Linked DNA regions of Nothobranchius furzeri. The protein of the gene in region 2 purifies or fractionates together with the protein of the main gene of each other region. This does not show direct contact. Links are inferred from orthologs where the notes say so. Each region holds a gene or a part of one and is shown on either strand. Other genes may lie near its edges.

Evidence for each region. The genes of interacting proteins can lie anywhere in the genome.
Region 1: the proteins of pop7 (region 2) and rpp30 purify together in Homo sapiens (co-immunoprecipitation; 4 studies listed by BioGRID and IntAct, counting the BioPlex papers as one, with this or other methods). This does not show direct contact. The link is inferred for Nothobranchius furzeri from reciprocal best matches to the Homo sapiens genes POP7 and RPP30.

The regions. Positions count from the first base shown.
Region 1 is NC_091756.1:51,153,159-51,157,132, reverse strand, and holds the start of rpp30 (ribonuclease P protein subunit p30), read right to left. Parts: upstream 2,801-3,974; 5' UTR 2,727-2,800; coding exon 2,645-2,726; intron 2,004-2,644; coding exon 1,945-2,003; intron 1,667-1,944; coding exon 1,544-1,666; intron 1,371-1,543; coding exon 1,299-1,370; intron 822-1,298; coding exon 732-821; intron 652-731; coding exon 535-651; intron 413-534; coding exon 383-412; intron 244-382; coding exon 206-243; intron 45-205; coding exon 1-44. Other genes in the region: nudt13 (NAD(P)H pyrophosphatase NUDT13, mitochondrial), read left to right, coding at 3,810-3,974. UniProt on the Homo sapiens protein: Component of ribonuclease P, a ribonucleoprotein complex that generates mature tRNA molecules by cleaving their 5'-ends. Also a component of the MRP ribonuclease complex, which cleaves pre-rRNA sequences.
Region 2 is NC_091742.1:83,870,045-83,873,646, reverse strand, and holds pop7 (ribonuclease P protein subunit p20), read right to left. Parts: upstream 2,419-3,602; 5' UTR 2,306-2,418; intron 1,633-2,305; 5' UTR 1,621-1,632; coding exon 1,168-1,620; 3' UTR 501-1,167; downstream 1-500. Other genes in the region: ufsp1 (ufm1-specific protease 1), read left to right, coding at 2,912-3,602. UniProt on the Homo sapiens protein: Component of ribonuclease P, a ribonucleoprotein complex that generates mature tRNA molecules by cleaving their 5'-ends. Also a component of the MRP ribonuclease complex, which cleaves pre-rRNA sequences.

The DNA of each region.
Region 1 (3,974 bases), on a different chromosome or scaffold from region 2:
TAGATTCTTTAGCATCTCGGTTGGACAAACCAAACAGCAGACCTCTGAGAACCAGATCAGGAACGCAAGACATGAAATGTGTTGTACAACACTACACACCAGACACAGTTCTGTGAAAACACACACGATGGTCTGTTCTGATATCTCACAGACTGCGGCAACACTGAGCCCTATGTCAGATTAATGAACAATGGTTAAAGGATACAGGTTGGCGATGTCATATGGTCCTCTGAGCTCCCAAGACTGAAAACACAAATATCAGGTCAGAGAAGTACGGTGGACAAAAAGGGCTAAAACTCAGTTATTAGAAATGTTCTGATTTGGTGAAACAGAACCTTTAGTTAAATTCATGTTTGATCCACAGACGTAGCTGATCACTGACCTTGTCAGCTGCACTCGACAGGATCACGTTCTGAAAAACAGAAACAGAGCTCAAGATCTCACCTGCAACGTGATGTCACAGAGCTTATGTCAAATAACAGCATAGTGTAAATTACTCTGCAGCTAGCCAATCAGATGCAAGGACATGCATACCTTCCCTTTACAGCTCTCCATCAGGCACACGGCGTTGGCGATGGTGTAGCGCCTCATGGTAGAGTCTCTGATGGCTGCAGCATAGGATACCTCAAATGCAACGCCTCTCTCGATGGCCTGAACTTACACAGGTTCACACATTCATTAAAACACACACACACACAAATAAACAAACAAACAAAAGCCTTGGTTGTCACCGCATTGATCGGCGCTCTCTTGAAGAAAAAGGGTAGCTTCTCTGTCACTGGGATGCAGATGATGTCGATATCGTACAACGTGCAAGCTGCCTGAATAACACACACACACACACACACACACACACACACACACACACACACACACACATAATACACATACTTCAGTAAAAATAGAGTGCTTTCCACTCAGTCTGTTTCATACAGGTGTAATTATTGTACAGCTGTGTTTTCCAGGACAAATTACAGCTACTGCTATTACAACCACAGTTAGTTTCTATTTTTTATAATGTTGTGTTTCTTGAAAACTTTTCCATTCAGTGAAATTGCAGTTTAGGTCCTGTTGTGTTTTCTAATTAAATGTTGTCAATTTATTATTTTTTTGTCTTTTTTAAACTTTTCTTTTGTTAAATATCCAGTTGTGTTTCAGATGGTCTTTTGTTTAGTTTTGTTGTGCGTTTTTCCAGTAAGTTGATTTTTTAAAGTCACATATTTCATCCATCAACATTCCTGTAGTCAGTGAAAGCATCATCCTGTTGGAGAGATGAACAGAGTGTCAGTGAAGCTCACATGGAAGACTTTCTCAGAGCTTGAATGGAGGGCGATGAGGTCGAAAAATCGAAAAGCTGGAGAGTTGGTCGGCTGTGAGCACGCACGCACGCACACACACGCACGCACACGCACGCACGCACACACACACACACACACACACACACACACACACACACACACACACACACAAAACAGGCTGTGGCATCACATCATACAATCCATTTCAAGATTATTGATCCCTTAGCTCTAATTAGACAACTCACATAGTGACTGGCGTCAGACATCACCAGCGTCAGTCTGTTCAGCACTCTGATTGGACGAGAACGGCCCTGCACCATGGGCAGCTTATCAAAGATCTCATTGATCGGCTTTGGTGAGGGAATTTCCTGCAAAGACAAAATAAACATACTCCCAATAATAAAAGTTTGAAACAAAATGTAAATTCATTGACAATCAACTGATTGATTCAGCATCTGCTTAACCATAGAGATCAAGTGAATGCTCGGAGATCAGTTTTATAAAACCCGTTTTGATGTTTTACCATTTGGATGTTTCTGTTCATAAGAATGAATGAGAATGTAATAAAGTATCAAAACGCAGCCACATCAAAGGCTTCTATCTGACTCCATGCTGTTCCTCAATGCAGCGCAGTAGGTAGTCTGACCTGTTTCTTCTTGGCTACGAGCTCAAACACATAGTTGATGGCGACCGTGGAATATCCAACTGTAGGAGGGGAAAACAAAATCCCAGTTAATCCCTTCAGTGAGGTTTGCATCATCCAGGTTCTGATTCTGGATCTGTGGTTGTGTAGGGTTTAGGAAATTGAGTGCTTTAAGAGCTCTGTTTGTGTGAATCAGGTGGATATCACGATCCTGTCACAGTCACTGATGTAAATACTCCAAACTACTGAAGATCAAGTAAACATCTGATATCTTTCTGTTTCCTGTCAGACGTAATGATTATGTCTCAGGCTTTATCCTCAACAGTTATTGTTCAGTTACGCACGTGCAAAGGGTCAAATGGACAACAAAGAATGCTTTGTTATGAAATATTGTTCCTAATCAAAAGTACATAATCCAAGGCGATGTTACGGGTTTGTGGGTTTTAGATGCAAACAAGCTGTGATCGATTATTTCTCTAATAAACGGATTCAACTTTTCCCACAAAATCTAGTGATAAGGGTTGTTCTTAGTGATGTTATAAACAAGCATTATCGATTAATATCTTAACAAATCAAGTCATTTACTGACAGTGTTTAACTGATACCAGAGCCTCATCAGCCGAACCAAAACCAGCTGAGTTACGAGGCGGACCAACTAAACACAACACTAGAAAAGGTCTGGTTTAAGGTCGAGAATACTCACGATGAGCAGCTGTTTCCACCAAACTCTGCAATTGCTTTATATTAGACGAATACATCACGTTTAGGTCCATAAACACAGACATGGTACCACGAACCTATACAGCTCCACATATAGAAAACCGCAAGGCTTGCTGGGAGCTGGAGTCTTGTTCTCGATGAGTGAGTGACACGGGCTGAGGCTGACACAGAATATTTTGTATTACCGCCACCTGCTGGTGGCGGAAGCCCCAAGCCCAAGAACGACAAAAGAAGAAAACCAGTGGATTCTGTGATAAAGCTAATCTTTTTTCTCAATTTGACATGAACCTGTTTGGATATTTCCTCCTGGGAAGACGTATCTTGTTTTAAAGTGACTTAAACACACGCGCGCGCGCGCGTGCGTGCACGCACACACAATATGACTAATTTAAGCATACATTAGTAACAGAGGTGCATTTTTGTTTTATTATAGAAAGTATTTTAGTATCACTTTAATACCAGGACAGACAAATTACAAAGAAATCAAATACTTTCATTTTTCATTTTCTAAATTTTGACTAAAGTTCAAATCAATCATATTTACTGCTTTACACTAGCCTGGCAAGCCAGACTAAATAAATCTGTTATTTAAACTTTGCAACGCAAGAGGTCTAGTAGTTCACTAGGTTATTTTTATTTACTTTGTTGCTTCCAAAGAACTGCAGCTGCAGTAACAACAGTCTGGCAGCAGGGGGCAGCCGTGCCAAACCGCTGCTCAGGGAACAAACAGCAGCAGCAGAAGAAGAAAAGGTCAGAGGTCAGTGAAAAGTCGAAAATTTACTGCAGACGTCTGAGATTCTCGCGCTTAAACCGAACCAAAGTGGATGTTACACTGCTATAACAAAGCGGGTCAGCCTGAACTCTGAGCGGGTTTTTGTGTTCAGAACCACTAGCCTGACACGAATCTATAGTTTCAGTGTAACCTAACAGAAACGAGCAGATTTACAGAATCCCTGATTATTAAACAGGGCATCCTACCGATCTAACACTTCTGCCTGTGAAATAAATCTGATGCAGTGTGAGAATAATTGTTGGAGGTCACAAGAATAATTATTCAGAAAAGTGTATTTAAATCAGACCTGATCAGACTAGTTTGAGTGGAAAACTGCTGCTTATGACTGGTAAACAGGTTAGTATCAGCTTCATTAATGAACATCTTGCAGAAACATAAAAACAGACTCTGTGTGCAGGCTGAGGCAGCAGAACCACACCAATCCAGTTCAGATCAGTCTGGCCTAATCCAGCAGGTCCGGTCCAGAATGGCTTCCCTGTTAAGACCTCTGAGGATTTTCTTTCCCGCCAGATGCTGTGTT
Region 2 (3,602 bases):
TCATCGCTGATTGTCACCTCAGCTGTTGTGTGAGAGCGAGAGCTCGCTGTGGAGGGTTACATGAGAACTCAGAAGCTGTTATCTATGTTTCAGTCTCTCTAACACCAACATTCATCCCGTCTCCATACGCTGATAGCCAGACTGCCTGGAAAAATTTACAATTAACATCCTGTGGAGCTGTGATTGCAAATAGCTTTCCAGAGCCTGACGCTAGCACTGTTTTTCCCCTTCCTCTGTTTTTCGTCACCAAACTGAAAACAGGCAGTTCTCAGAACTTTTTAATTTAAAAGGGATGCTCTACTGTTCACAATAATTGTTTGTTTTTGTTGTCTTTCCTTGTTTTTATATTTTGCTGTTTTTAAGAAGTTTTCGAGGATGTTTATCTATTTTCTTTCCTGTTTTTTGTATTGTTTTGTCCCATCACTGCAGAATTCACTATTTAAATACAAAATATCATGTTTGGATAAAGAGAGGATGGCTGGATGGAAACACAACGGGAAGTCTGTTCATTTCATTCTTTATCTCGGAGTGGTGGAAGTAAAAAGCAAACTTCTCAGAAAGCAGACGTTCAGAACAAGTAATTAATGCATGACGCACACGCTGCACAGATGCTTTTCCCCTAAAATGTTTGAGGAACTGGTATACAAAGATGTACTGATTCAAGTAACTTTATCAAATACATAATCAAGTACATCAGCTTTGACCAAATAAACACCAGAAACCCTTCAAAGATCAGATAAATAAATACTTCTGAAGTCTTCCTGACCCACAGCTGACCGACACTGTAAACAGCTGTTGGTAAATGCTGCCATTGAAGTTTTAAATATCCATTACAAGATAAATACTGACACCTAGTGGACATTTACAATAACTACACCCACATGATAAACTGATTTCTGTTCTCTATAATCAAGAACAATCTGGTGGAAGTAAAATTAAATAAAAGTACAGCTGTATGTGAAACATCAGATCTAAATAAAGTTTTACGTGGTGAACAACACTTAAAGCACAACAAGGATGATGACTATGAAATGTTCTGAATACTTCGTTGTGAAGACTCCAGGTGATGTTGATGGGTTGCTACACGAAGATGTCTCAGGAGACCTTTTTTTTGTTTGTGGAATTATTGGAGAACAAAAAGGAGTTTCTGTTGAATGCAACAGTCACTTAAGGTTCAGGATAAAAAACTTTAATATGAATGGCTGAGTTGTTGCGTGTACGTGTCATTGGCTCCCCAGCCTCATCAGGATCTTCAGGCTCCAGGTCATCCACCAGCTCCACCGTGGACGTGTTGGCAGCCAGCTGCAGGGCTCCTTGACTACTGGTCTGCAGCTGGAGGGCAATATTAATCGCCCTGTTGATGGCGAGCCCCAAACCGTGGATGCAGATCTCCCTGTGACCGCCGCCCTCCAGGAGCTTCTGACAGCGAGCTAACTGGGCCCTGAAATCCGTTTTCATGTTCACGTAGACATCGTTCCTCCTCTTGGGGAGTTTGCGAGGAAGACGCTTCCTCAGGGTGTACTCCACCGGATCCATCTCTACAGCTGGAGAGCTGGACTCAGCGTGTGCTGGGTTCACCTGAGGGGCGGAGGACATCCCAGGGTTTCGTGGCTCAGTCATGTTTGTCCTTGTCTGTAGAATAAAGGTCCAAATGAGAGAACTTCAGAAGTAAGCAAGGAAATAAAACAAAACATTACATCGTTTCACCTATTCACTTTAAGTAAAAAATTAAAAAAGGGTTTTCATAAATTAGTTATGTGACAAAACAGATAGCCCTTATTAGCAGAAATAAAACAATAGACATTTCGGATAGTGCATTTGATAGATGATTATGACGAAACCACCTACAACGCAGCTGGGACTTTCAGCTGGTAGAATATTACATAGATCATGGTTACTTCTGCATGACTTACAGAAACATTTTGTGAAAGGAAAATGGTAAATCAAAGCCGTTTGGAACATCAACAAGACTAAATTTACTAATCTTTATAGCATTTCGTGAAACAAAGTACAATAAAAACAAGGTTCAACATTCTATTTTTCTATTTGACCTTTCCACAAAAATGGTTAGATATCCAGTAATTGCTAAAACGTCTCAACAAATGTGTTAGTCATGAATATCACTCTCTGTTCATTTATTTTTATTGATGCAAACCCGAATCCAAGACTGAGAACGCTTAATATCTCATTTAGGACTAAGTATCGGTTCTGGTTAACCCGATAGAAAAACGAAATAACTAATCGAGTAAGCGTGAGTAATTTTTCTAACTTACATTTAAATTTTCATCATAAAAGGCCAACTTACCTGCAGATAACGAGTTACACTCTGAAATTAGCTTCAGCACGTCGCTGACATTTTTTCCAGAACGCTAGCAAAACAGGAAGTAGATTTGCTACACGTGTTGTGCCGACAAACGTAGCCGGAAGTAAAAGAACCAGTTCGCGGAATTTACAGCAGTTTAAATCAAATCGATATTATAAACGAGTTTATGTTTACTCATCACAGTTAGGAACATGAATATATTAATGTATTTATTTTGGTGTACATGTTGGCTAAATAGTCATTGGCGTGAAGACTGAAAGGTTAACCCCATAACATGTAATTGCGCAGAGAAAGTCACAAAGATAACTTTATATCTTTGTGTTTGAAATATTTATTTCGATTGGTTTATTGGCGAAAACAAGTTCTACTTGTTTTGGGGTTCGCCTTACGAAGGGGTTGCAGTTTTCGGCACAACACCGGAAGTAGATTAGTAGCGTCATTAAAAACACTAAGACGGAACCCTCATTCGAGCATATGGACATTGGGGAATGTTGTTTTAGTTACACTAGATGGCTGCCGCATAAACACAACTTTGGACATTTAATTAATTAAAACTTTGTTTGTGGTTGATGAAAATAGTTTTTAAAAATGGCGCGCGAGGGAAAAATTGACTGGGGTATGTGTGACGTAGAGGAGATTAATATGAAGACTGAAACCTTGTTAAAGAACGTACAGACTGGACTTCCTGTGCCACTTCCTGGCCCTGTGAAACGTTCATTGATCAAAGGAGATTTTCTCTACTTCTATTATGGCTGCGATGGACAAGATGACAGAGGCTGGGGGTGTGGTTATCGTACCCTTCAGACAATGGCTTCCTGGATTTACTTTAACTGCTCTCCTCATAAGGACCATAACAAAATTGCTCCAAGCCTCCCAGAAATCCAACAAGCCTTGGTTTCAGTGGGGGACAAGCCAGCCTCCTTCTCTGGATCCAAGGAGTGGATTGGAACGTTTGAAGCCTCTCTGGTTCTGGACTATCTCTATGATGTTCCCTGTAAGCTGGTGCATGTTAGAGGTGGAGGAGCAGAGCTGGAGCAGGTCGCTGTAGAAGAACTCCATCGACACTTTGAAAAGCACGGTTCTCCGGTCATGATGGGGGGAGACAGGGACAACTCCTCTAAGGGCATACTGGGGGTGTGCACTGGGACCAATGGGAGCTACCTACTGGTTGTTGACCCTCACTACTTTGGATCCAAACTGGAGAAGACAGAGCTGCAGATGAGAGGATGGGTGGCATGGAAACCAGTATCGTCTCTGGATCGGTCTTCATTTTATAACC